Linked DNA regions of Rattus norvegicus. The protein of the gene in region 4 interacts with the protein of the main gene of each other region in a pairwise test. Links are inferred from orthologs where the notes say so. Each region holds a gene or a part of one and is shown on either strand. Other genes may lie near its edges.

Region 1 (7,454 bases), on a different chromosome or scaffold from region 4:
GGCTCAGTTTTTGACCATGTATGGGCACAATCCCAGCTCCAAGCTGGCACGTCTCACTCCTTGCCTAAGCTCTATAAAACTCCCATTGCTTTAACCTGGATGTGTGATGTCACTGACCTTCACCGTGAGGTCGCTGAACCCATCCCCAGAGCTGCCTCCTCATAAACCTGCCTTTGCCTACTTTTTTTTTTTAAAGATTTATTTATTTATTTATTTATTTATTTATTTATTTATTTATTTATTTGTTATGAGTACACTGTAGCTGCCTTCAGACACACCGGAAGAGGGCATCGGGTCCCATTACAGATGGTTGTGAGCCACCATGTGGTTTCTGGGATTTGAACTCACTTTGCCTGCTTTTAATCTGGTCTAATCTGGCCTGTATCCACATGACTGAGGGAGAGAAAACGTCTATTAATAACCTCATCAATGAAGTTGATAGGGAAAGAGCCTCGAGGCCATGTGTGGACCTAACCATGGTGGGGCCTTAGAGGGAAGGCAAGACTTCATTAAGAGAGAGAGAAAGGGAGGGAGAGAGGCACCCTGAGAGGAATGACGGGAGGCTGGCCAGAGGAGCCCTTCCGAGAGCAGCCTCAGAGCACCTCTCAGAGTGGGTCCCATTGAGGAATCTCAGACTCTTTTTTTTTTTTTTCCCCAACAAAGCAAAGGTCTGACATGTTATGGCTGTGGAGAGCCTATGGAAAATTTCAGATGGAAAATTTCAGATTGGGCAGAGTGATTTAGATCCGTGTAGCCCATGTGACAAGGAGGATGGGGAAGCCAGGTACCATGCGTTGTAAGCTGTCAAGACACTGCACTGACTACTGAATCATGAACTTCAGGGAGACGTAGCCTGACTCAGACCTGGGAGTCAGGCCTAATAGTCCAGGCCAGTGTCCTGTCACTCACCTGTTGGTTAATTCATTGGTCAGACAAACACCGTCACAGTCCAGTCACATCTCGGCAGCATCAAGGGCTGGCGACCAAACCTTGTGACACATAAACCTTTGGGAGATATTTATATCCAAGTCAGAGAAGCCTTTGTAGGGAAGTAGACAACAAGCTGTAGACGTGGACTTGACTTTGCGAGCCTGATGTTCTCCAAGGCTACTTCACTCCCAGTCCCCCTAACATCACCATAAACATAAGTAGGAGGCCAGTGGAGCTGCTGCCCAGCTCCTGATACTGAGGAGACGGAGGCCATCTGCACCCATATAACGAGTCAGAAGGCAATCTGAATGTCATAAGAACCTGGCTGGGAGCAGTGGGGGGACCCAGGAGGTGCTCAGGGATAGGCTTGGGGGTTTCAGAACCCATGTATAAAGACTCGGCTGTCAGTGAATGTCTGTGATCCCCAAGGCACTGAGTCAGAGAATGGAGATAGTGAATCCCTGGAAGCTCAGGGGTCAGCTAGTCTGGCCGACTTGCTGAGAGCAGAGGATTGGTGGGGGGCACTTCCTGTTGTCCTCTGAACTTCCTAGTATCTGCATGTAGGTTGGTGGGGAGAAGGGGGCCAAGGAGAAAGGGATGGAGAGAAAACGGGCTTCAATGGCAAAATCTATCCTCCCCACCCATAGCCCCTTTCTTTCTTTTCTTGCCCTCTCCCTTCCTTTCCCTACCCCGCTCTCCTCTGTTCTTTCCATCAAGGCTGCCCTTGAACTTGTGACCATTCTCCATGACAAGAATTGTAACCAATAATTCCTTTCCAGCCTATTGTAGGAGCTGCGAAATGGCTCAGGAGTTCCGGGTCATGGAGTAGGTATGGATCTAGAGTGGGAGCTGCAATGGGGTGGGGGGGTCAATTCTTGATGCAGACAGGGGAGCAGTGGTGTTATTATAGTTTCCTGTGTACCAAACAAGTCCCCAGAACTTCTGAGTCCCTTGAGTTCCCGAGGTAACTACAAAAAAGCCAGGAAGCCCCTGGTGGTGGGTCAGAGACTGCAGAGCTCTTGTGGCCTGAATCAGATCCAGCTGTTCATCCAGTAATGGTGACCTCCCTGCTGGTCTACTGGTAACAAAGCCTGTGCTTAACGTCCTCTAGATAAAAGCTAGGAAGAACTCCCCGGGAGCCTCGGTGGCCTGTTTGACACGTGGCTTATTTTCTGTAGTCCTAGGCACTCCACAACCTACTCACCCGTGTCTGGAGGCCACCGGGAACGAGTGCTCAGCCTCTCCCAAGCTCTTGCTACAGAGGCTTCCCAGTGGCACAGGCTGATGACAGGTGAGGTGCCCAGGCTCTGAACCCCCGCATCTGAGGAAGGAGGCCTGGAAGTTTGGACTTTACACGTTTAAGTTAACACTTTTCTCATTCTCCGTTTAGCCTCTCCAGAGAGAAATTTGGACACCAGGGGAGACTGTCTCCAGCCAAGTCCACAGCCTCCCAGTGAAGAGCTGCCCCAGGTCACCTCGTCCCCAACTTCTCACAAGGCTAACTCGGCTACCACAGGGTTCTCATGCCAAGGGAGTGGGAGAGGCCTGGCTCCGTGGGAGCCCAGGTGGGACCCTGGGAAGGCCCCTCCAGCTCTGGCCCAGGAAGAGGGGGCATGGCCCCTGAGAGTCACTCTGCTGCAGTCCAGCTTTTGACTCCTGCCTTTGCACTGGGTGCTAAAGGCTGGAAGCACAACCTTGAGGTGTGGGACCATTCAGGACCACAGGGGAGAGGTTCATTTCAGCCTGTGTTCTAGGAGGGCCGGGGCTATGATGGTCAAAGATTGATTATCCCAACACTGTCCGAACTTGGATTAAAACTTTGAACTAGTCAATAAATAGCTTTATTCTCTCTGTGGTTGTGACATTGTGTTCTGACAAACAAGCGTCAGGGCCTTGGATTCACAGGACATTGGGGGGCTACATCTTAAAATATGGGTCTGAGGGAGGAGGTTGGAGTCTGGATCCTGAGTCAAGGCAGAAGTGGTGCTGGTCTTACAAGTCAAAGGGAGCAGGGCTAGAGTCAGTCTGAGGGGGCAGAGCTGGGGTGGGGGTCCCTGAGCCTGGAAGAGGAGTGTCAGGATGGGGATCCCTGGGTCTGAAGGAGGATCATCACGGGTGGGGACCCTGGGTCTGAGAAAGAGGGCTAGGAAGGAGAGTCCTCAGTTCTCCTAGGTGTGCCTTCCTGGGAACTCCCCCTGCCAGGGTCAGCCTTCAGTGACCCAGCCTGTATATCTGGTTCCACTCCCCCGCTTCTCTGGACTTTAAAGGTGGGAAGAGGCCCAGAGGGTGTGGGACACGAGCGAGATAGCTGGGAATGGCTGCAGTAGGCCGATATTCTGGGAAGGTGGTGGTGGTGACTGGGGGCAGTCGGGGCATCGGGGCTGCGATCGTGAGAGCCTTCGGTGAGTAAGGGTCTTCCCGCCTGCTGCCTGAATTGTAGGAGAGAAAGAGCGGCTGGCAGAGGCTCCCACAGTGGGAGGAGGAGACTCAGGTTCATTTCTTTAATGATTTGTTTGTTTTTAATTTTCTCTGTGCGTTGTCGTTGTACCTGGGTGAGGTTGTCAGATCCCTCCTAACCGGAGTTATAAACAGTTGTGAGCTGCCATGTGGACGGTGGGAACTGAACCTGTGTCCTTTGGAAAAGCAGCCAGTGCTCTTAACCGCTGAGCCATTTCTCTGGTCCCTCCGTTTCATTCTTACATGAATCCATTTGGATTGTTGGGTCTTTGTTGATAGGTCGGTCATTAAAAGTTCTTCCACTGGCCTGGCAGTGGTGGTATATGCCTACAATCCCAGCACTTGGGAGGCAGAGGCAGGTGGATCTCTGAGTTTGAGGCCAGCCAGGAGAGTGAGTTCCAGGACAGCCAGGGCTACACAGAGCAACTCTATCTCAAAAATCCAAAAAAAAAAAAAAAAAAAAAAAAAAGTTCTTCCCCAGATGGGTCCCTAGCTGCAAATGATAGCTTTGTGTGTTTTATTGTTTGTAGGTTTTGGATTTTTCTAGAATCCAGGATGGGGGCCAAGCAGTGGCTTAATGAGGAAGGGTAATTTGTTGCTCTTGTGAGTGGAGACAATCTTGTGAGAGAGACAATCACGAGAGCCGCCAGAGAGGCAGGTGCTCTGGTGGCCACAAGAGGGCAGCAGAGGCAGTGACGCAAGTCTGCAGGGCAGGTAACATCGTTCTCTTTCTGTTGGCAGTGGACAGTGGGGCTCAAGTGGTTTTCTGTGACAAGGATGGTGAGTGAATCAGTGTTCATCTCTCCCTTGCCTCATCAATGATCTCTGCATAGCTCTCCTCCCTCAGACCCACATTCCTAAGCCTCCTCCCTCGGACCCAGAATCTTTCTCTTGCAGAGGCTGGGGGCCGGGCTGTGGAGCAGGAACTCTTGGGCACTGTCTTCATCCCCGGTGACGTGACTCAGGAAGGAGATTTACAGGTCAGTGTTTTCTGTCCCACACTCCATCGCCAGTCCCTCTGGGTATCCATGCCCTTGTCACCTCCGTCCTTCTGCCCTCTTCTCTCTCAGGTCTTTAGGAATGATCAGGACTTGAACTCTTGGCTCCTGTAACAAGTTTCTGACTTCCTGGCACTCAGAATCTCTTATGTGTTTCCAGGTCTAGCTCCTATCTGGGCCTCTGTCTTTCTTTGTCTCTCTGCTCCCCACTGCACTCGGGTCTGTAGACTCTCCTTCTGAGGCTCTGTCTTCTGCACACACACCCCTCCGAAGTCTTCTAAAATGGTGTGCTGGTTAGTGTTAAATCGACTGGACACAAGCTAGAGTCATTGGGAAGAGGGAATCTCACTAGAAAATGGCCCCACCAAATTGGCATGTGGGCAAGCCTGTTGGTCACTTAATTAATTAGTGGTTGATGTGGGAGTTTCCCCAGCTCCCTGGGGGTTGTGACATTGCAGGGCAGGTGGTCCTGGATAGTCTAAGAAAAGGGGCTGGACGAGGCATGGGAACAAGCCAGCGAACAGTGTTCGTCCACAGCCTCTGCTTCAGTCCCAGCCTTGAGCTTCTGCTCTGAGTCCCTGTCCTGGCTTCCCTCAGTGATAGATATGACCTGGGAGCTGTAGGCAGACATTAATCATCTCCTCTCCAGGTTGCTTTTGGTCATGGTGCTTATCACAGCAATAGGAACGCTGTGACAAGTGGCAACTGTGCTGTGTGGATCAGTCCTTTTAGTCTGGGTCCTCGACTTCCTGCATCCTCCTCTCTTTCTAGACCTATTCTGTGGCCCTGGTCCCCTTCCACCTCACCCTACCCTGTCTTCCTTAGCTGAGCCCATCCTTGCCTTGGGCCTCCTGGCTTTTCCAAGGCTGTCACCTCTCAGCTCATCACCTGCTCTTTCTTCTCTCCTCAGACTCTGATTTCTGAGACTGTCTCTCGATTTGGTCACCTGGATTGTGTGGTGAATAATGCCGGCTACCGTAAGTTGTGTGGTTTGGAGGCCAGTGTCCCTGACATCTACTTATACCCTCTTCCCCATTCCTCTCTTAAAAATTATTGCCCTATCTATCTATCTATCTATCTATCTATCTATCTATCTATTATCTATCTATTATTTATCTATCTGTCTATCTATTATCTATCTGTCTATCGATGTGCATGTGTGTAAGCGTGTGCTTGCACAAGCACTCGCACTCTCATGCACAGTAAGTACTTCTCTGGTGTTCAGTGCAACAAGAGGGAATCAGTTCTCTCCTTCGGCCATGTGGGATTGAGTTCAGGTTATCAGGCTTGGCACAAGTGTAAAGGTACAGTTGAGCCATTTCAACAGCCCAATCCTTCCTCTGAACCTCAGTTTACCCCTTCCTCAGGACACATAGCCCTCTGCCTCCCGCGTGCGCGCACATGTGTGTGTGTGTGTGTGTGTGTGTGTGTTTACACTTGCATGTATGTCTGTTCTCCCCTTGCATGACTGGTGCCCACAGAGACCAGAAGGAGTTGGATCCCCTGCAACTGGAGTTACAGGCAGTTCTGAGCCACCATGTGGGTGCTGGGAGTTGAACCTAGTTCTCTGGACCAGCAGCCATGCTCTAAACCACTGAACCATCTCTCTGCAGCCTTCCTTAACACAGAGCTCAGCCCGGCCTCAGTCTCACTTTCTTTGCTGTGTGCTTGTCACAGGAGGTTATACTGTCCTTCACGATAGTCCCAGAGCCTGGGGGAGCTCCTGCCTTGCTGATGGCTGGTGGCCCTGGGCCTTGTTGGTGACAAGGACAACCCAGACACGCTTTATCAGACACTAGGTAGTGTGGCACTCTGGGAAATTTTCATCAGCCCAACAGCTGCACCAGAGAACAATGTGTCCCCATGGCAACAAGGGCTCAGGGAACACCCACCGGGGCCCTCTTGAATATCTTCCAAAGTTGGGGTCAGAGGACTGTCCCCGGCCAGCTGGGCTCCCAGTCTTAGCTGCTTTACTTCACATCACAGTAAGGACTCAGGGTTGCTGGTCGCTCATCCTTACCTGGGTCCTTCTTTCCTTAGGCTGATGTTGACAACACCTACCAAATTCCCTTGTGGGGAGTGGTATCTAAGCAGGGAAATTCGCATTCCACAGTGAGGAGAACAGAGACCAGCTGAGGTCTGGCTGCAGAGCACTTACCCACAATCCCCCATGAGCCCTAGAATGACAGGCACTGGCTAGCTTACCCCGTTCTGCAGTCAGCATTCAGCTGCACTCAGCACTGTGTGGCCGCCATCCTTAGCTTTCTCCCTCACCCTTGGCCTCCTCTCCGACCCCATCGTCCCTGCCCTCCCTCCCTTCCTCCCTCCCACCTTCCTGCCCCGGCCTCATCCTCTTCTTCTCTTTAGACCCACCTGCACAGTTGCCAGAGGAGACCTCTGCCCAGGGCTTCCGCCAGCTGCTGGAGGAGAACCTCCTGGGGGCATACACCTTGATCAAGGTGAGACAGGCAGAGCTGCAGTTGCTGTGTGCCCTTCAGTTCATCCGGAGCACATCGCTTTGTGCCCCTTGGCTTCCTGTCCTTATTACAGTATAGCGGTTCTCAATCCGAGGTTCAATTTCCCTTTGGGAATTGAAGATCCCTTCACAGGGCTTGCCTAAGACAACCGGAAAGCATGGTTATCTACGCTGAGATCCATACCTGCAGTTGTGAAGTAGCGACAGAGATAAGTTTATGGTTGGGGGTGGGGGTCACCACCACGACAGGAGGGTGGCAGCATCAGGAAGGTGGAGAATCAGGATCTAGAAGGACACTGCCAGTCTTCATCCACCTGGGAAGTTACACCCTCCTCGCAATCTTCCAGAGCTTTCCAGCCTGCTTGGAGGTAGCAAAGAGGATGCTAAGAGAATCCAAAGTGAACTAGGCTGTGGTGGCACAGGCCTTTAACCCCAGCACTCAGGAGGCAGGCAGATCTCTGAGTCCCAGGCTAGCTTGGTCTACAGAGAGAGTTTCGGGACAACCAGGGTCACGCAGAGAAACCCTGCCTTAAAAAAAAAAAAAAAAGAAAAAGGAAGAAAGAACCGGAAGTCGTGGCTAGGGCTCAGCAGGA
Region 2 (6,670 bases), on a different chromosome or scaffold from region 4:
GCACAAGTCTTCAGTTATTCCGCCATGGGAGAATCCAGTGTGGGGTGTGCCCTTGTGAGAGAGCCCAGGCTGCTGCTCAGTGCCTGGGTGACCTTGGGGGACTGACCTGCCTAAGGGACCTCATCTAGGATGTGGTTAGTACTGTTTGGATGGCTCATCCTTGGGAAGCATGAACAAATGTCTGTCACTCCAAATGGAGCACTGACTATAGGCCAAAGAAGAATTGTACTCAAGGCTCATTTGGTAAACCAATGAGTTTCCCATTGTCAGAAGGAGGCTGTGTGTGTGTGTGTGTGTGTGTGTGTGTGTGCTTACAGCATCATGTGTGATTCAAAGGTAGCTGCATTACTGAAAAGCCCATGAAGGAAGAGTCACACATCACAGAAACTGATCCTCGGGCTCCTGGCAGCCGCTCACTGCAGTCCCTGGTCTCAGCAACCATTGACTGCTTACAACAGTGCATGGGCTTCTCGAGCCTTCCCTTGCAATGTGTTGTTATTTTCCTGAGCTTTATGAGCGCTGCGTTCTGTACAAGAGGGAACGATTCAACTCAGAGGAAATATACAACTTCCACCACCCTGAGGTGATGACAGGTGTGAAATGAGCTGATACCTGCTGACACTCTCATGCGCCAGGGACACTGCCCCAAGGATTTAACATCTTACAAAGTAGATCCTATAGCATCCTCTTTTCACCTTTAAAAAACTAAGACACAGAGAAGCTGAAGAGATTCAACTTTACACAGATAATAATTGGTAGACACTAGTTTTGAATGTAGGCTCTGTCACCCCAGAGACTACCTCTGTTGAAATTCAAGCTAATGCAAATTACATACTGAGAACAGGACCTAGAGGATCACCTCACAGATGTGAGCTACTGATGGTTTGGGCCACACCTACATTTCTAACTAAGAGCCTAGCAAAGGCCAAGCACTTTGCCAGGAGCTAAAAGCCTAAGATGAGGAGGTGAGGAGGGTCTGGGCTTGGTTCTTACAGAGCCCTGCGTTCTTCATTCTTCTATAACCAATATACCTCCCTAGTAATTATGTTGTCAGTCTCAATAGGAATGCATTGGAAGGAAAGATCTTAACTAGGTGTAGTAATTCACACAAACAATCCTAATACTTGTAGGGGTTGAGGCAGGAGGATTGCCACAAGTCTGAAGCCATCCTAGGCTACATAGCAAGACCCTGACTCTACCCTTCATCCCCTTAAAGGCAGATCCTGGCAGAGATGGGTATCTAAGAATGAATGCAGTCGGGGTTGGGGATTTAGCTCAGTGGTAGAGCGCTTGCCTAGGAAGCGCAAGGCCCTGGGTTCGGTCCCCAGCTCCGAAAAAAAGAACCAAGAAAAAAAAAAAAAAAGAATGAATGCAGTCCAGCCTAAGAAATGTGTTATAGAGCAATTGTCACTTCCTCCCTCTTTCGAACACTGATACCACAGAATCCCACTGATTTTGCTGTTTTAAAAATGTAACTTTCAGCTGGACAGTGGTGGCCCATGCCTCTAATTCAAGTATTTGGGAGCCAGAAGTAGGCAGATCTCTATGAATATGAGGTCAGCCTGCTCTACAAAGTGAGTTCCAGGACAGCCAGGGCTACACAGAGAAACCCTGTCTCGAAAAACAAATATATAAACTTTCAAAAGCTGCTTTTTGCTGACACTCCATGAGACTGAGTCACAGTAAAAGGGAGTGTCTAATGCCATATATGACTACATGCTTCTAGACCTCCGAGGCTTCTGACAAACTCAGAACTGCAGAGTAAAGTCAGGAATCCTGTGTGAGTGAGACCAAGGTGAAGGAGAGGCACTGCCCTTTGCAGGGTGGTGGTGGACGGCTGGACTAGCTGGCTGCAGCTCCCAGAAGTATCTGCAAAGAACATTTCCACTCCACTGTGCTAACACTATCGAGGGCCATGTGCTATGAACCTTGGGCGTGGCTTTTCTTTTGTGGGTACAGAGCTGTTTTTACTCACTTATTTTGTGATAAAATTCACATTTAAAAAAAGCCACGTCATTGGAAGCACAGATAAGTAAATCTCATTAAGAAACACGTTCTGTGGAAGAGCACATTGTTTCAATATCTAACCACTGTAAACTAATAAAAATTTAATCCTCTTTCAGAATAGCATATTTATTTTCTTAATTTTCCCAGTTTCATCCTTAAGAGGCTGGTGTTGAAGTTTACCACAGGGACATGAACCATAAAATCCAGACTGTCAAACTGTAGAATGATATGGCTGGTTCACCAAAGAAACTGCCAGGAGGGAAAATGGAGGGGAGTGGGGATCAAAGAGATTCTGAGGGAGTGAGCAAGGTGGCCAGAAGATAGAGGGGCTTGCAGCTAAGCCTGATAACCTGAGTCCCATCCCCAAGACTCAAGGTAGAGGAAGGACCCAACACCTGTGAGTTCTCCGAACCTGCACACATGTGCCGTGGCATGCACGTGCACATATAAACACATGTAATTTAAAGAGACCCATAACAGATACTGGGGTTAGCACCCCTCTCTGAGACTCTTGATTTGGGGAGCTAGAAACTAGCTCCTGGTTCCTGTTTGCTGAATGGCAAAGTCAAGACCATGTGGTGTCTAAGACACATTTCTAGCCTTAACAATTAGAGCAGGAACAGATAAGGAGTGGATGGGACCCAGCCTGGGATCCAGCAGATTGGCCTCTGAAAGCAGCTACTCGGCATTAGGTCACCTTTCCTCAGGTGCCAATCCTGAACCTGGCTGTCCCAGGGTATAACCCAAGATGGATGGGGGCGAGGTTCTAGAAAGTGACTGCCTTTCGTGAGGACTGTAACTAGAGATTAAAGGAAAAGACCAAACAGAGACAAAGAGTGGCTAGAAAGGGAGCTGGCATGGTGAGATCCTAATCCAGCTTTATAGACTTGAGCATTGGAGATTTGGGACAATTTCACATCTGAATTCTGCCTGAAATTGTTTGGTGATATGGAAGAACTAGTCATTAAGATGCTAGCATGGGTTCCGGGAAGAAAGAGGAAAGACAGAAAGGAGGGGTGAGACCCTTATTCCTTTAGACATGTACACTGGGCTTTTAAAGAGAAAATACAGTCTCCTGTCACCTTTTAAGTTTCTGAATACATTCATAGAAGTTTCTTTGTGGATTTTCTTGACTTCCCTCTCTGGCCTTATTTCTTAGGGCACAGTTGGTCAGAACACACCAAGCTCCCTCAGTGCACATGGCTCTCTGGTCCCTACCCTTGGCTGCATCCTGGCTGGCTTGCATCTTCTCCTCAGTATTTTGTGTGATAACCTCTCCTCTGAGAAGACCAGACTGATACAAATCACACCCCCAGACCAGCTGGGTTAGGCACCCTCCAGGACATCCCTCACACGCAACTACAACCCTGTGATATAAATATGTTCGTTTTTCTAAGGGAGGAGAAGTGGTCGTGTCTTTAAAAGGATGCCGGGGTAGGGGGTGCAGTGTGGTATGAGCAATGGGGATAGAGAGCAGAGGGCCTGAGGGGGTTGCCCTGGACTGCTGCCGCCTGCATTTGGAAAGGTGAGGGTGGTAAGGAGCCCAGGTCCAAAAGTTTCTGCTATGAGAAAACTAGCAAAGATGATGAGAGACTCCAAGGGGTTACAAGAGGCCAGTAAGACATTCCTACCACCACATTAAGCTTCGTGTGTTACAATATGGTTCTGAGACATAGTGTGGAGTCACCGCTGCCAGCAGAATTTACGCTTCTTTTATTGTTTAAAAAATATGTAAATATAGCCAAGGACCATGAGTTTCGGTCTAGAATCTGGCACTTTCTCTTCCTATGACTCCAGCAAGATGCTTACCCTCCTTAGGCCACTGTTTCTCCATAGATGATGACCAGACTTTGTGCTGTACACCCATGAGCCCAGAGGCCAGAGCATGAGGAGCCAAAGATAGCCCAGTCTGGGTGTGCACGTAGACCCTGCCTCAAAACACAATAAATCACTAAGTAGCAATTTCTGTCAAGTCTGTCAGAAAGCTGAGTCAGTAGGGACACTGCACATGACAATGGTGAGGTATCTGGGGTTGGAAGGAAACTAACTTAGGGTGCCCCTTGTCAGTTAGCAATGATCAGAAGTAGGCCGTCATGGGCCACAGGTATTCTTGGGAGCCCAGCACACGCTGCAGCTGCGCTGTGAGGGAGGGGCTGCTCACGTCTCTGCTCGCTCTCACCAGATGAGAAGCCAGCTCTATCAGGAGGAAGACCTGTGCTCCGAACAGGAACGGATGAGGAACGAGATCTCCGAACTCACCCAGGAACTTCACCAGAAGGAGGTCACTATAGCAACCATCATGAAGAAAGCTGCCCTTCTGGAAAGACAGCTAAAGATAGAATTAGAAATAAAAGAAAAAATGTTAGCAAAGCAACAGGTATGTATACGTACAGGAGAGCACTCTCCAGGGCTGGCTCCTGCCCATGTTCATCCTAGCCTCGCCCTAGGTCTGTCAAAAGCCTTGGCGACTTGTCCCATAAAACCCTGAGCCGTGGACAAAAAGTACCATCAAAGAAACACTAGGGACCTAGCAGACAGCGCACACATGAGTGATCGGTTGCTTGCCGAGGTTCTCCTGCAGCTGTCTTTGCACATCGCACTGCCCTGTACCTTCCTCAGTCATTTGCTATAGGACCTTTCCATTAAACTGTTTTTTAGAGAGCAATTCCAGGTTGCTCGAAGATCCTGCCCCTCTCTCCATTTAACACATTGTCGTGTTTTAAACACGGAGAAAACAACATAAAAATCACTAAACATCCACTCAGCATGCAGCAGAGATCTTGAGTTCCACGTTAAAACCCTGCAAGGGATGCTCGCTCCTGCCATCCTCCCTATTCCTTCTGTTTCCTTGCTCTCTAATAATGTTAGCCTGCTTTGACAGCACAGGCTTTACGGCCCTTTCACTCTAAATGTAGGTGATTTCAGAGCACAAAACATGAATCGAGACAATTTCCATAAGAGCAGTTCAATCTCGTGTATGTACAAAAACAGAAAAGATTGGGCCTTCATCACGTTATGGGCCGCAGACTGACCAGTTTGTACCACACACACGGAAAGCCAGCACAGGGCACTTCGCGCACCTCAGGGCGCCTTGCAGTCAGGGGCAGCTGCAAGAACGACCCCTTTCGTTTTCATACTGCCATCTTTCCCGGACTTTGTCAGTGAGCATGTATCTTCTAATTCACAAACGTAAATATGTTTAAAGCAAGGGTTTCGTATAGTAATGAGCCAGGTATGGGGGCACGAATCTGTCATCCCAACATTCAGGTAGATGACACCAGGGAAAGAAGAAAGAGCTACAGAAGCAAGTCATAGGCACACAAGGGAGCAAGCCAGAACACCAGAAGGAGCGGATTAAAGCCATGTACGCTTACTGTAAACGTTAACTGGGCATTGAAGAAGTGCAACGGACAAGAGGATTTTCGAGAAGTTTTCTTCATTGTGATTATAATTCCTGTATGTGAGAAATGGAATTTCAGACTTGGTAGGGAAAAGTAAATATTTAAGTGTTTCAGATTTAGCACTGCTCAAACAGGAAGTTGGTGGGGGAGGAAGAGAACCCAAGTGGTGGGAGGGTGGATGTTTTCCTCCACGCCACAGAAAGGATTTGCACCCACCTGGACAGAGTTAATGAAGATGACGAGCTCCCATCGCGAGTTTTACACATGCCTTTTATCTGCTAATCTTTCAGATCTCAGACAGAAGATACAAAGCTGTCAGAACAGAAAACACACACCTGAAGGGAATGATGGGAGACTTAGACCCTGCACGGTACTTGGTAATGCGCTGAATTCATTCCCCCAAACTGAACAGGAGGTAGCTTGGCTGGTCAGGGCGGATCATCAGTGTGGTCACTGAGCATGCGCGCCAGGAGCGCCGAGCTGCGCACTGCCTACTGCACTGCCTACCGCAGTGGCTTGCCCAGGCTCGGACCCCTGGTTTGGGCTCATTTCTGATCATTTCTCAAACATGCAAAGCATGCAGTTTCCTAGCTTTTAATCCTGCAATTGCTTGAAACCCTATATCCTCGACAGCCGGAATTGGGTGCCAACCTTATGCTCAGAGAAACCCTCCCCTCAAATCCGAATCAGAATGATTTGTTCCGTTCTTGTTTGATTTATATTTGGCTGACTTGTTTTGTGGCTTGTCTCTTTCAACTTGATGACAATCAGGAAGTTGGCATGACCAACAGCTCAGGATAGAGCAAGCCAACAGTGTTTGTTAACCGAATATATGAATTAGACCCTGACTCTACCTGTTCTCATAAACAACTTAAATGGCTCCAAGCCTCTCACCTCCATTGTCTAGCAGTCGATGGTTGGATTTTGTAGAAGAACTCTTGTTGGTAGAAAATTGAAATATTAGCATTATTTGTTGTATTTTCTTTCATTCACTTAGAGAAAAGTCCTGCCATTATTTTTTTTAACTGTTCAAGGAACAGAAAGGTAACATAAAAAAATTGGGCACCATGGCTGCTTCAGCTAGCCTGTTCCTTTAGCCGTAATAATGAGAAGCAGGTCGAGGCTTGGCCAGCCCCTTCTGAAGCCAATGTTCTACGTCTGTCGTGTTGTGCACCTGTTCTCACATGAGTCCGTATTCCAGCATCAAGACAGTAGAAGCATCTGGAAGCACTCTCCCTTCTTCCTTGAGCATGGCTGTGGAT
Region 3 (7,461 bases), about 2.7 Mb from region 4:
CCCCAAACTAACACGTAGGTAGGGAACTGATCCCAGGCCATGTAGGGATCGCCTCGCCATACCCTCTGCTCTCCACGCTGGGCAGTATGGGGCACCAGGATGGGGGCCTCGAGCTCGGCCGGTGAGATGACAGCACCACGGGTGCCCAGGGTAAAGATGGTGTTCCTGCTTCGCAGGGACGGCTTCGAGAAGAATCGTGAGCCACATCCGCGTCAGGGAAAAAAACGAGATGGACAGCACTAGGCCCAACAAGCCAAGGCCTGAGGATCCCAAGAAGCTAAATAAGGCCTGGAAGGCCTTTTCCAGAACCAGAGCCTTGCTTCTCCTGACACTGATAATGGCTGTCGAGGCTTCCCAAACCCTCTGAAATAAATGTGAAAAACTGTCAGAATGGCATGTGCTTCTTAGAGAGGAAGCTCTGGCTTTCACATCCTCAAAGGTGTGAACACAGAACAGGTAAAAAAAACACAGCCCTGGACTGTTAAGAGCACTGACTGCTCTTCCAGAGGTCCTGAGTTCAATTCCCAGCAACCACATGGTGGCTCACAACCATCTGTAATGGGATCCAATGCCCTCTTCTGGTGCGTCTGAAGACAGCTACAGTGTACTTATAAAAAAAAAAAAAAAAAGAAAGAAAGAAAAAGAAAAAGAAAAAGAAATGGAAGGAAGGAAAAGAAGATAGCTCTGCATGCTGGAGCTGGACGTCCCCGCCGTGAGCCCGGTGTGAGGCTCCCCTCTAAAGGATATCTTTCTTTGCTGTGTCTTCTACACCCATTAGATCGTCTTTCTCAGCAACTTCCTCGTACTAGAGAAAACAACAGAGAGCTGAGCCATCACTCTCCACATCCCCCCCAGCCCCCCCAGCCTCCCCCCTCCCCCCGTCTCTGGCCTGGCCCACCTGCACTTTCATGAGCCGCCCCACGTACGAGCGGTAGTATGACAGGTAGATCTTGCTCAGCGTCTCTACGTACTCATCCCTGACCTCCTTGGCTGTAGCACGCTCGTTGCCCAGCAGAAACTGATAGAAAAACCTGGAAGGACCGGGGTGAGTCAGACACCCTGGATGCCCACGCTGGAGGCTGAGAGGCTCGCTCATGGTCACCCTGTGCCCATCCCGGGGGGGCCACCTGTACTTCAGCAGGGCCGTCTGGGGGATCTGATAGTTGGTCATCGGCTTTCGGAACGAGTAAATCTTCTGGAGAATGAACTCACGGATCTTTGTCACCGCCTGGATGTGGGGTACAGACAGGCCGTGAGGTGGGAAGTGAGAGAGGGGACACAGGAGAAAATAAAGGTAAGGGAAGAATACTTCATTAGTGCTCTGGTTATGGAAACAGGGTCTCTCTGAGCAGCCCTTGCTGGCCGGGGACTCACAGAGGTCTGCCTGCCTCTGCCTCCTGAATGCTGGGGGTGAGTGCATCGCCATGCTGGCCTTATTTTTTCAGGGCTTTTTGTTTTGTTTAAATATGGAAGGCTTTATAAATTTCATGTTATCCCACAGGGGCCATGCTAATCTTCTCTGTGTTGTTCTAATTTTAGTACCCGCACTGCCAGTGCAAGCACTGCTTGTTCTGAGATGGCGTCTCACTCATGTATCTGGGGCCTGGCCCCAGACTCCGTTTCTTCTTCACCTCCTGAGTGCTAGGACGACAGACTCGTGCCATCCTGCCAACGCAGGAGGCACTGGGGATGGAACCTAGGGTTGTGTGCTTTACCAATGGAGCCACACTGCAAGCCTCCTTTGATTTTCAGGGGAGGACTGACACTGACACTACATAGCGGGAAGCAATGTGGAGCTCTTGGGAAGCTGACTGTAAGCAGCCGCTCCCCACCTTGACCCGGAGCCGGTCGAGCACGCCTCTGACGTCTGCACAGGCGGCCGTGCCTCTCGCCTCCTGCTCTCTGACCGCAGCCGCCTTGGCGTCCAGCTCCTGGAGCTGCTCCAGGAACCTGGGCTCTGTCACTGGAGCTTCGAGAATTGCTCTGGGGAGCAAGGGAGGATGGGAGTGGTTAGATGGAAGGACTCAACAGCTCCCGCACACCTCACGTGTCATTCTGGCCTTTCTCTGTGGTCTCATGCCTCCATGACGTATGTACAAAGTCTTCAACTCCTGAGCCACACCTCCTCACGTGGCCCTGGATCACTCCTAACCTGTGCCCCATCCGTGTCCCATCCGTGTCCCATCCTGTGGTGGCCAAAGCAGGCTTAGGAGTTTTAACCCATCCATGAATTCCTGTAATTTTTTTTTTCCGGAGCTGGGGACCGAACCCAGGGCCTTGCAGCGCTCTACCACTGAGCTAAATCCCCAACCCCAACATTTTTTTTTTTTAAACAAGATCTCACTCTATAGCCCAGTCTGGTCTACTTGCAGCAATCCTCCTGCCTCAGCCTCCCAAGCATGTGATTATGGGCATGAGCAGGCACACCTGGTTTCTACGTGGTACTGACAACCCCAGCCGGGAGACCTATGTGGTAAACTGGGTAGGTAACCCAGCCCAGCCACCTGCTCTGGACTTGAAGACCCTTCAAACCAGTGACTCACGTGACCAGAGCAGAGGGCACCACTAGCCCATCGACGAGTTCCCCAAGTTTCCCCCGAACTGCCTGCCGGTTACGAAGTCGGATGTTCATGGCCCCCGACTGCTCCTGCAGGGTGCGGATCTCACAGCTGATGGAGCTGAGGTCGCTCTGAAAAGCTCCCAGCATCTGCTCCATGCGCTGCAGGGAGGGCAGAAAACACTGTGGGTGTGACTCCCGGTTGGTGGGAAATGGGGCAAGTGTACGACCCAAGTCTCTGAACGAATGAGCCGGTATCCGGCAACCCAGGAGGTGGGAGATCTTCACTTGTCCAAGGGGGACAAAAAAAAAGAAAGAAAGAAAGAAAGAGAGAGAGAGAGAGAGAGAGAGAGAGAGAGAAAGAAAGACAGAGCAGAAGGCAATTAGGTCCGGTCTTGGACAACAGGTTAGGGCCACCAACCTCTAGGACGGCATCACAGGCTGTGATCTGATTGTGCAGAGAGGCTATGTTTTCACTCTCTTGGATGTCTGACCCACAAAAGTCAAGGGCTTCACACTGAACGCATAGCTCTGTGGGTCTGCAGTACCTGCCCCCAGGTTCTCCCCAAGGTGACCGAAACCTGAGAGAGACGCCCTCCCCTGTGGAGGCTACCTGCATCACACATCCCCATGCCGGTAACACCCATCTGTTTCCTCTGCTGGAGGATACAGTCCCGGATTGACTTCTGCTCAATCTGCTGCAGCTCTAGCTCCACCTGCTTTGAATAGTGTCGAAGATCCACACCCTGGGGGAAATGACAAAGTCAGGAAGAAGTCACAGTGGGAGGACCCCAGAACAGACTCGGTGACTGGCTGGAGGGGAGCCACCAAGGTGAGGCGACAGCAAGAGTCAGGGAAGGTGGGGATCAGCGGAGTGGGGATCCTCACCGTTTTGAGAGCTTCCTTCACTAACTCGTCTTCCAGATTTGCCTGGATGTGAACTGGAGACAAGTTTATCATTAAGGGGTCCCCTTGCCACACCTCCCTCTGCCCACACTGGGCTCCTGCACACAACGCCAATCTCCCCTTTCCTCCAGGACAGTTATAGGCACAGTTGCTTTGCCTGGTGGGACTTTCTTCTGTTTCAGCTCCTCTTCATCTACTCAACCACAGATCAAAAGGATTACGTGGGAATTTCCAAAGGAGGTTACCTCTCACTTGGCCTTGGATGTGAAACACCTTTGCTCTGTTGATCTATGACAAGTGCTGTGCCTACCTCTCGATCGCTCGGTCTTAGCTGGCTGCACACTTATGTTCAAACGGGCTTTATTTTTTACTTAATAATCATCCCAAATAGCAAAAAGGGATGCAGCAAATTCATTACAGTGTATTGCTATCAATTCTTACTGAGCTGAAATTAGAGGTTAAACCTTCTCAACTCATAGATTAAACTTTGTACGTCCATTAAGAAGAAGACCATAGAGGGCCATCTACTGGGGGGTCATGTAATCTATTCCTAAAGAACAAAAGGGTCTACTTTGCCCCCACCCCATGTCACCACTTACCATCCACTTCATCCAAGATGAATTCATCAGAGGTGATATCCAACTCCCCGAGTTGTAGGGGCTCTTGGAGTCCAGAACCAGCCCCCTGAAGAGGGACGGGTTAATGAATGTGGGATACAAAAAGAGACGTTGGAAACAAAATAAAACCGGATATCCCTAATCCCGCAAGTGAGGTGAGGGGTGCTTTGTGGGGGAGGGGTTGCCCAGAGGCTAACATTGTCAGCTTACAGTGTTTACCCATGTGTCAGGTGCACCCTTAAACATACTCATTTGGCTAATCCTAACGACCACCTACAAGGCAGGTCCTATTAACGTTGTCACCGAAAACAGCATCGCCTTCAAGTGATGCGGCTGGAAATGGGACCCAGGCAATCCGGTTCCAGAGGCCACGTTCTTAATCTTATACACTATGTTCTCATTTCTACTAAAAAAGCGTGAACAAGAAAGTGACATTGTGTCCCTGGGACTTGAGTTTCAGCCACTTGGGTCCCTACGAAGGCTTGGTCACCATCACCCTTAGCAGGACGAGCCTTGTGTCTGAACCCAGCCTACGACTTCCTGAGGAAAAGGACGACCTGACGACACTCCGGAGGACAAACAGCCCCGTGCTCTCACCAGCGGGCCCTCCTCCTCCTCCATATCTGAAGCGCCGGCCCGCAACACCAGCTCCCGGGCAGCAGCCGCCATGGTCGCCGCGGCTGCCATTCCCCCGCAGCCTCACTTCCGGCAGCTGTCAGTCTCTGAGAGTCCGTTTCCCGAAGCAAAGCCACAAGTCCTGGAACGTCTTCTACGGAGCAACAAAAGGTTCCCAGATAGTTGAGCTAACGTGATTGGCTCCAGAGTCCCGTTAGGCTTTGATCACTTCGGTCCGGTGCAAACGGGAAGGTGAACGTCTTGAACACAACCCTGCTCCGGAACCTTTCGCTCCTCGGCCGCACAAGAACCCTACGACGCCAAAGAAGACCGAACCGGAAGTTATAGCTCCTGTCCTATGCAAACCAACTCCTCCCTTAGGGAGAGGCCGGGAGAGAAGCAGTTTCCGGAAGCGGTCCTCCGGGATAGCCCCGCCTCTTCCTCCAGGAAGCTATATAAGAACTACACGTCACTTCCGCTCTCTCTTCCACAGGAGGCCTACACGCCGCCGCTTGTGCCGCCGCCATGGTAAGAGCGGAATCAGCGCCGAGATCCGGCGACATCGGAGCCGGGGCAGGGAGAGTTTTCCGTCAGGGCTCAGAGAATGCCCTGTGCTGCGGGTCTGCAGCCTCCCCTGAAGCGATGGAGCGCGACCGGGGAGGGGACGACCTAAGACGTGAAATTCCAGGGAGCAGGGACCCTATGAAGGGTCACTCCCCGGACACACCAAAGTTGCCAGGAGCTTGGCTGCTGTGTAGGGTCCTCCGGACCCCCCTCCTCAGGGTTCTTGGGGCGGCGGCCAACGTTCACCCTCAATGTCAAAGGTTGCGTTTTCCCGCGCCCGAGCGCGTTTGGCGCGTGTGATGGTCACAGGTGACTGAGGAGTTGTGTAAGAACTTAGGAGGAGGAGGCGCTCCCTGGATTCCATCCCCCCGCCACGGCGACCTTCTCGGTTTGGGGGTTGCCTGTCTTTGATAATTGCCCGTGTTCTTTAGTCCCTAGTGATCCCCGAGAAGTTTCAGCACATCCTGCGAGTACTCAACACCAACATCGATGGGCGGCGGAAAATAGCCTTCGCTATCACTGCCATTAAGGTAAAAGTGTCAGGGGGCAGAGAGTAGCAACTAAACTCGCCTGACCCGTACAAGGTTAAACCAAAACACTGCTCCAGGGGAAGTGAGGCGCGCCTGTGGTCCGGCCCCACCTTGCTAAGGTTCCCCTACGTCTTCAGCTTATGAGATCGTGCTAGAGCGTTCTCCGCGGCCAGCAAGCCTTGGGGTAGGGTTCCTGCCAACCAACGTACATCATGGAAGGTGGTGATGTGTCGGGGTGGTCTAGGGAAGATGCAGGTGCCACAGTGGAAGGAAGGTGACACGGTTGAGATAGAAGCTGGTTTCTGGCAGAAAACCAAATGGTAGGTGGAGGCCAGAATGTTTCTCTTTGCAGAGCTAAAAGTCTTCCAGAGAGGGACGTAACTTTTGTCGAGGTTCGTAATTCGAGGACTGGCACGATGCTGGTCAGAAGTCTGTGTTCTCCTTGAGGGCAAGAACTAGACCTGTCCGGTGGGTTCCTGTGGGATGTTAGGATGTGAATGGAACTGGGGTGACTGCAGGGTTCAGAGAAGCTTCAAGGAAACTGCTTCAGTTTTTATGTGATGGATGAAGGAGGCCTAGGTAGCTGAGGGGGTGTCAAATGGACATTAAGTCAGAGTAAATCTTTAAGGTCCTTGCCATATTTACTAATTTAAATTCTGCACTTTGGGGGACAGTTATAGTGGGGGGAGGGTGCCGGGTATGGTGACAAGAACATGATGTCTAGGAGGTTGAAAGGCTGTTGTGGTGCTTCTGCTGTGCTTGGCCTATCTTTGTACACTGAGCATCTTGGGGGATGACTACAGTTCATATATAGTGCAGACAAGGTGAATCGAGGCGCCAATGGAGCCTGGGTATTGAGGGTTCACTTGATCTCAGGAGCATCTGTAGTGAGAGGTGAAGCTTGGGGCAAAGGATCCTTCAATCCCAGCCCTCTGGAGGCAGAGGCAGGCAGATGTATGAGCTGGGGGCCAGCCTGGTCTATAAAGTTCCAGGGCAGCCAGGGTTACACGGGGAAAAGCACCCTTCCAAAACAGATGAAGCTTGTTGGGAGTTGTGGGGGGTGATTGTGGGGTGGGCTCCTCCAGAAGTGATTAGGGTGAAGGACTGGAAGTTTTCTGTATTCCTTAAGACTTGTTCTCTGTTTCTCACTGAAGGTGAGGAATTCAATGTTTAGGAGCATATAGGAAGGGGTTGGACAGACAGAAGGACCGACTGCCCTTACCCGGAAGGCATTCTAGTACTGTTCTTCCAAACTGCTTTAAATATTAAAAGTCAGTTCTTTTATAATTTGAATAAGTGCTTCGGGAGTCAGAAAGCAAGCTGGCCTCGAGCCATAAAGCTCTGTCGTCCCTTGCCTTGTCACGATAACCAACCTGGCATCATGACCTGTTGTACTCACCTTTTACCGTGTGGAGGCTGAGGTGGGGGTGGTGAAGGTTTTTGCCTCCATGTCTTTTTTTTTTTTTTTTCCCCTTTCGGAGCTGGGAACCGAACCCAGGGCCTTGCGCTTGCTAGGCAAGCGCTTTACCACTGAGCTAAATCCCCAGCCCCTTGCCTCCATGCCTGTGGAAGCCAAACGCGTGACTAAGATCCTCTCTAATCAGGAGTTAAGAGTGCTTGGTGTTGAACCCAGGTCCTGGAAGAGCAGCCAGTGCATGGAGCCATTTCTCCA
Region 4 (6,670 bases):
TATTGGGGTGCTGGTGGGTTAGTCCTCTGCAAGCTTTGCAGTATTAGGGTGCTGGTGAGTTAGTCCTCTGCAAGCCTTGCAGTATTGGGGTGCTGGTGGGTTAGTCCTCTGTGCATCCATTTGCTTAAAACAACAACAGCCCAGTACACACGGGTGATGTGGGCAAAACTGAAGAGAATAAAATATGTCACATCTCTGTGCCCAGGCTCCACTAGCCAGAGATGCCTGATGAGGGTGCAGGAGGGTGCGGGAGGCTAGGGTGCAGGAGAAGGAAGTCAAGGGGCTGAGCACAGAGGTGGAGGGAGGAGGAGGAGGCGGGGCTGACAGCAGAAGCGGAATGGCAGTAGGGAAAGGAATTCGAGCTTTTTCTCATGCTGCCTCCTAGGGGGAGGAAGATGATGCTGTCACCAACACAATCTTCCTTTTGGTGTTACAAGTTGTGAGAGACCCCAGCAGGGGACATGTATTGGTAAAGGCTCTATGGACACATTCTCCTACTGTCCCTCTCTGTTACAGACAGAGCTGAAAGACTTTCGAAAGCACTGACATTCCACATCACGGCTGCAGCAGAACTCCTCAGGAAGCTGCTGGTCTCACGAGCGAGCGTCCCCCTCTCAAGTCAAGCTAACGGTCCCACTGGGGCCTTCCACGTGTGTCATTAGCTTGAGGTCTTACAACATCACTACCAGTGTCACTCCTGGACTTAGTTCCAAAAGGATTGAAAACAGGGTCTACAGCGTATTCAGACACAACCATGCTCACTACAGCATAATCCCACAGCCTAGAGAGACAAGCAACCCGCCTGTCCAGTTTCCATTTGGTGGAGAATTAGCAATGACAATGGAAGGTTTATAAAATCAAGGCGAGGGGGTGGCTCAGCTGGTAAAGGTGCCTATTTGACAAGACTGATGACCAGGACCCACACAGTGGAAGGAGAAAGCCAATTCCTGTTGGAGATCCTCTCACCACACACACCATGCCATGCCCTCCACAATATAAATATATCAATGTGATAAAAACATCTTGGGGGCTGGAGAGATGGCTCAGCGGTTAGAGCACTGACTGCTCTTCCAGAGGTCCTGAGTTCAATTCCCAGCAACCACATGGTGGCTCACAACCATCTGTAATGGGATCCAGTTCTTCTGATGTGTCTGAAGACAGCTATAGTGTAGTCATATGAAATAAATATTTAAAAAAAAAAAACAACTTAATGAAGGGACTTCTGACACTGTGAATTAAGTCAGACACCAAATGACAAATACTGTATAAGCTTCCTTATCTGAGGTATTTAGAGCGGTCATGGCCACAGGCAAAAAGTAGAAAGGTGGTGGCAGGAAAGGGGGTTGTTATTTATGGGCACTAAATTTAAGTGTGGGAAAAGGAAAGTTTCTGGAAACAGAGGTGGTGCTCACAGAACACTCAAATGCATGTAAGCCACTCAGCCAGGAACTAGTAAGCAGCCACTGTTCATAAGACCAGGAAGAAGAGTAGGGCAAACTCATGCTACGGATATTTTATCACAATTAGAAAAACAAGTCACCACCCCCGCTGTGAAAAAGCAGAACGAGCCCAGGGACAGGAGTTTGACCAAAGGATTCTTTCTGCTCGAGCCTCAGGCAAAGCACTACTTGGTACCCAGTCTTGTTATAAAGGGTGGAGGACAAGGCGTGAGGAAATGCCCTGTCCCAAAATGCCACGTGTGGACACGGGGTACCAAGCAGGTGCCACTGGGCAGGAGGAGGATGGGACACTGAGGAACCCACCCACTCACCTCCTGGACGAGCGGCTGCTGGAACAAGGGAATGAGAGGGTTCGTCCTTGGAATGTCAATGTGAATCTGAAAAACAGAAACCACGGCCCAGATTTAAGGCAGGTGTCTAAGGCAGCACACTCAGAAACACTTAGAACACAGCTTAGCTTTAGAGGGACAGACAGACAGAATATGCACAAAGCCCAGCTAGACCCACCCAGGAAGAGTATGAGCCCAGGTTAGCCACTGCTCACAGAGGAAACACCCCCAAATAAGCCGCTTAGTCAGCCAGACAGGTGTCTCCCCAGAGGACACTCTCCTCCTGCTATGGGGCGGCCAGGAGACATTTCTGCAGGCAGTGAGTGCTGAATGGGCTCTGAAGCAGCCACAGGCATGCACTGATGCTAAAGTCCAGAGGGACCCGACCATTGACAAACTTCCTGCCTTTCCTGTGGGGTCCCATGGTCTTTAGTCCTCAGAGGACGGCCTGTGGCCAAACAGCAACACTACCAGGGAGCGTGTTAGATGTGTGGGCCTCACCTCAAGACCTGCACCTATTGGTAATCCAAGGCATGGGTGGGCATGTGTGTGTGTGTGTGTGTGTGTGTGTGTGTGTGTGTGTGTGTGTGTGTATGCATGCATGCAGTGTGTACATGTTTGTACACATGTGTATGTATATGTGTGCATATCTGTGCATGTGTGTACATCCATGTACACATGTGTATGTGTGTATCTGTGTGTATACATGTATGTACACTTGCATATGTGTGGGTGATTTGTGCACACATGAAACATGAGAAGCAACACCACTGACTACTGCTAAAAACCACACCTTTCCAAGGGCACTGGAAGCACCTGTAAGCCCAGCAGTCAGGAGACTGAGGCGAGTTCAAATCAGCCTGAGCTACGAGACTTCCGATCTAAACGACAGAGTAAAACCCTGTCCCAGGAGGGAGAAAATAAAATGAATCAGGAGCTGGCTCAGCAGCTAAGAGGACAGGCTGTTCCTCCTGGGGACCTGAGTTTGGTCTCACATCATAGCTCACAACAGTCTCTACTCCAGTTCCAAGGATCCAGTACCCCTTGGGTCCCTCAACTCCCACATACACACAGACACAGGCACATGCACACACTCACACACATACATGCACACTCACACGCCCACCCGCATGAACACACATGCACACACACGTCCACCTGCACACATGCATGCACATGCACACTCACTCACTCACTCCTGACCACGCACACACACACTCACACACCTGCACACACGCACATCCAGGGTAAGTTCTATTTTTTAATTGCAAAGTCAAAGCCACTGGATAAGAAGAGGGAGGGGCCGCAAAACACACAGGACGTCCGTCTCTCCCCTCCCTGCACAAGAGGCTCCAGGAGCACAGCTCCCTGACGTCACACCTGTCTGTAGGTGTCCTGGTGGTGCTCTTCATTCCGAGAGTCATAATACTGCTCAATGAAGCCAAAGTACTCCTCCCGCTTCCGCTGCAGGGTCAGCTTGCGCCGCTCGGTGTTTGCCGGGAGATAGCCCTAAAGGCGACAGAGCCTGTCAGAGGGTGAGTTCTCACTTCAGCCTGAACGGTGACTTGGAAACCATCCCAGCACAGAACAGGAAGGCCAAGAGGACCAAGCAGGTGTTCTTGGGTTCAGCCCCCGCCCCGCCCCTTGCACTCGACCTCTTCTGGATAGCAGAAGAAGCAAGCCAGCTCTCCCAGCCTGCACACTGCTTTGGTCCCACGCCCAGGGCTGACACCACTGAGCAGTAACTACATACAAGTCAGCAGTAGGGAGCTGGACCCGAGTCACAGCCTCCCAGGGAATTACAGGATCTGGAAACTCCTGAGACACTTCCTGGTACAGATCACACATTTTCTCCCCGTGTAACACTGGGAGCCATCAGCTCAGCAAGCTGAGGGAGTCTGGGCCTTGGCAGTCGAGAGACCGGCACAGAACTCTGGCAGCCTGAACAGCCATTCTTCTTCCTAAACCTCCTGTCCCTTTTCGGCTTGCCTAATGCATTCTGAGCACATCTGAATTTACTAGGAGTGGCCGAGGCACCAACTGCACGGCTGTAAGACCAGGGCCAGGGGACAGTGACAACACGTGTGCCCTTCCTCTCAAAGGCTTTTACGTAGTGTTCTCCTTAGTGGGTGGCTGGAGAATTGGCACGGTGATGTGGGGAGGGGGTTACTGTTTGATCTGGGGTACGCACCCAGCACCTGGCCCTGGGCCTCTGAAAACCCTTACTGGGTGAATGGGCAGAGCTCAGAGGCCCAGAGGGAAGCGCCCCAAAGCAGGAGCTCTACAATGCTGAGTGTGGGAGAGAAAGAGCAGCTTCTGAGAGGCCCACGGACTGAGTCTTCGCATGAAGCTGGGAGACGGATTTCCAAACGCTGTCAGGAGTGTTGATGATGCCTGCTCAAAGCCAGTGCTGGGACCCTCCTGTCCTGCTAGATCCCTCCCCACAGTTAAGAAAGTGACACTGTGACCATGGGAGCCAGCTCCTGGCCTTCTCCACACATAGCCGTGGAATACACTCACCTGTGGGTGCGAGAACAAACTCTCAAGGACGTGTCCTTTGGACACAGCCCCACAGCTGTGCCAGGCAGCACTAGAGGAGTCTATGGCATCAGACCAACCTTGGCAGGCAGAGGGCTGTCTGAGGCCCACACATCTCCTCATGATGGTTGGAACTCACCGACAGCAGTCTCCAGGTCACTGGTCGAACTTCCCTGGGAACGCCTGGCCAGCTCCACTTCCTCAGTTCATCTACAAACATAGACAGCCTCACTGAACCAGGTCCTTCTGCAAGGGCCTGAAACCAACCTTGGCCAGGTGCCTCCTACCACCAAATACACTCACCACCACCACCATTGATAAGACAAGCCAAGAAAGGCTCCATGCCACAGCCTCCAGCGGCAGGGTGCCCAGGGCACCTACAGCAGCCTTTGGCTCAGAGAAGCTGTGGGTGTATGTGGGGGAACCATAGAGCTGTCCTGGTCTAGCTGCCTAGAGAGGTATGCGTCATAGGTTTTTCATGTTGGAGTCCGAGACTCCTGGGGCACCATGTGCTGTCCAGTTCCTGAGAAACCGAGGCATTCCCTCGGGCAGGGCAGCACTCAGGCCGCCTGCGCTCCTCTGCACTCCCTACAAGTCAGCGAGGCATACGCAAGTTTGACAGGACAATTGGTCTTAGACATTAATCTTGTGTGTCCTGTATACCTGGCAAACGTCACTGTATCCTGGCGACCACCGCTGTATTCTGGTTCTGATAAACATATAAAACCGTCTGATTTGCTCCCAATAAACTTGTTACAGCTCAGTCTTGCTGTGTTCCCTCCAACCTGACCTGGTCAAGATCCCTTTCTCAGAGGCCCCGCCAGGTAACCTGGGCCCAGTAAGTAAACGCTGGTGCATGCAGGCGTGGACTTCTGTGAGAACTCCTGGAGGCAGCAGACAGCGCTGGCACGGGCGCCCCACGGTCTGCAGGCCCCATTCACTCTAGTCCCTAATGTCCGACAACAGGCTTCTGACTAAACTCTGTGCATCGCTGCTCTGGCACCTGACTAGGACAAGCAAAAGAAGGAAGCCGGTAGATATGTCCGACCTCTGAGAACCAGTCACCACAGTGCCTAACTCTGCCCAGGGCCCTGGGGAACGCACCTAAGTCAGTGTTGTGGCTTGAAAGCAGCTGGCGGAACTTTTCGAGGCGGGTTTTCTCCCGGACTGTCATTGGAGGGGCCCCAGAAGCATTCTGGTCTGAGATCCGGGCGACGAGGGGGATGATGGGCCGGAGAGGGAGAGACTGTTGTTTGTGGAGTGTGTTCCTCAGGCACGTGTCACCTGAAGGGATTTGAAAAGGAGAAAGACCTACATAGGAAGGTCGCCGTCAGATGCCCCAGGTCTGCGCAGACTGTGCAGTGCTTTCTCCGGGGCGGGACCTGAGCCTGTGGCACTCCTGAGGCTGGAGCTGAGAAACAGTGAGACAATGAGGTCCGCAGGGCTCTGCTTCCAAACAGAGGGACTGCACCTGTACCACAGAGGGCAACTGTGGCCAGCTGACCCCAGATGTCGCTGTGACTTCTAAGAATGTACGTGGTAACACCAAGGGAGACGAAACTTTCTATCCTACCCTGGATCTTAAGCTGCCTTAACCTGGTGAGTGCGGTAGCCACAGAGCTAAAGCAGAGTGTGGAGGGCTAGGCCGTGACAGCTAAAGCAGAGTGTGGAGGGCTAGGCCGTGGCCCTGTGTACAACCCTCTGGCTAGGCACATGGCTGCCCTCACAGCCAGGCTCAACCTTGGCCTGCACTTGGCCCACAGGAGCCCTTCAAGGTGTATAGGAAGCTCTGGCCTCAGGCAACCCCGTGCCAAGTAGCCAGCTCCTCTGCTCCATGTTCCTCACACAAATGAAGCAGCTTTGAATTCTGCTGCTACCACCAAAGCAGGGGAAGCTGGACTCTGTTCCACTGTAGATGGTCTAACTCAGCTGGTGCCTGCCACCTAGAGGGGGCCGTGCCCGCCATTTCAGCATGAGCTCCCATGATCCCTTACGACACCTGCTAAAAGTTTTAGTGACTTTACAGAAGAACAAAGTCAGCCTAGGAACTTGAGAAACTGGGGCGGTGGAGGGGGGCCTCCAGGCTGTCTGACTCCAGCGCCCTTCAGAATGAGCTGCCACAAAGAAAACTGTTTCAGGGACTGCCCTGCTAGGGCTGGGTCATGTTCCTCAATACCTAAAATGAATATATTCCACAGGCCAGCACTGCAGAAGCTTGCGACAGCCGCCATAAGGCACCTGACTGGGATGCCTACGGTGACAAGTGGGGCTGAGAAAATGCAGAATGCATGCAATAAACTTAGGCAGATGGGCATCTCCGGCATCAGCTGTTTACAGGCAGAT

What was found.
Region 1: the proteins of Tbc1d22b (region 4) and Hsd17b14 interact in binary tests that used the Homo sapiens proteins (3 or more experiments, as listed by UniProt). The link is inferred for Rattus norvegicus from reciprocal best matches to the Homo sapiens genes TBC1D22B and HSD17B14.
Region 2: the proteins of Tbc1d22b (region 4) and Deup1 interact in binary tests that used the Homo sapiens proteins (3 or more experiments, as listed by UniProt). The link is inferred for Rattus norvegicus from reciprocal best matches to the Homo sapiens genes TBC1D22B and DEUP1.
Region 3: the proteins of Tbc1d22b (region 4) and Vps52 interact in binary tests that used the Homo sapiens proteins (3 or more experiments, as listed by UniProt). The link is inferred for Rattus norvegicus from reciprocal best matches to the Homo sapiens genes TBC1D22B and VPS52.

The regions. Positions count from the first base shown.
Region 1 is NC_086019.1:105,162,517-105,169,970, forward strand, and holds the start of Hsd17b14 (17-beta-hydroxysteroid dehydrogenase 14), read left to right. Parts: upstream 1-3,178; 5' UTR 3,179-3,244; coding exon 3,245-3,332; exon of another isoform or gene 3,333-4,128; coding exon 4,129-4,167; intron 4,168-4,284; coding exon 4,285-4,367; intron 4,368-5,295; coding exon 5,296-5,362; intron 5,363-6,752; coding exon 6,753-6,844; exon of another isoform or gene 6,845-7,454. Other genes in the region: Plekha4 (pleckstrin homology domain-containing family A member 4), read left to right, coding at 1,710-1,759, 2,109-2,221, 2,321-2,583. UniProt on the Homo sapiens protein: Catalyzes the NAD(+)-dependent oxidation of L-fucose, yielding L-fucono-1,5-lactone, which rapidly converts spontaneously to L-fucone-1,4-lactone. Can also act on D-arabinose and L-galactose, with lower catalytic efficiency. Does not use NADPH.
Region 2 is NC_086026.1:20,680,718-20,687,387, reverse strand, and holds part of Deup1 (deuterosome assembly protein 1), read left to right. Parts: intron 1-4,189; coding exon 4,190-4,384; intron 4,385-5,274; coding exon of another isoform or gene 5,275-5,322; exon of another isoform or gene 5,323-5,458; intron 5,459-5,698; coding exon 5,699-5,785; intron 5,786-6,609; coding exon of another isoform or gene 6,610-6,670. UniProt on the Homo sapiens protein: Key structural component of the deuterosome, a structure that promotes de novo centriole amplification in multiciliated cells.
Region 3 is NC_086038.1:4,928,570-4,936,030, forward strand, and holds the start of Vps52 (vacuolar protein sorting-associated protein 52 homolog), read right to left. Parts: upstream 4,890-7,461; 5' UTR 4,768-4,889; coding exon 4,678-4,767; intron 4,148-4,677; coding exon 4,063-4,147; intron 3,499-4,062; coding exon 3,446-3,498; intron 3,304-3,445; coding exon 3,228-3,303; exon of another isoform or gene 3,226-3,227; intron 3,050-3,225; exon of another isoform or gene 3,047-3,049; coding exon 2,979-3,046; intron 2,720-2,978; coding exon 2,544-2,719; intron 1,984-2,543; coding exon 1,833-1,983; intron 1,558-1,832; exon of another isoform or gene 1,461-1,557; intron 1,229-1,460; coding exon 1,128-1,228; intron 1,032-1,127; coding exon 899-1,031; intron 806-898; coding exon 748-805; intron 197-747; coding exon 63-196; intron 1-62. Other genes in the region: Rps18 (small ribosomal subunit protein uS13), read left to right, coding at 5,221-5,223, 5,691-5,789. UniProt on the Homo sapiens protein: Acts as a component of the GARP complex that is involved in retrograde transport from early and late endosomes to the trans-Golgi network (TGN).
Region 4 is NC_086038.1:7,640,281-7,646,950, reverse strand, and holds part of Tbc1d22b (TBC1 domain family member 22B), read right to left. Parts: intron 5,612-6,670; coding exon 5,432-5,611; intron 4,538-5,431; coding exon 4,467-4,537; intron 3,299-4,466; coding exon 3,170-3,298; intron 1,838-3,169; coding exon 1,772-1,837; intron 1-1,771. UniProt on the Homo sapiens protein: May act as a GTPase-activating protein for Rab family protein(s).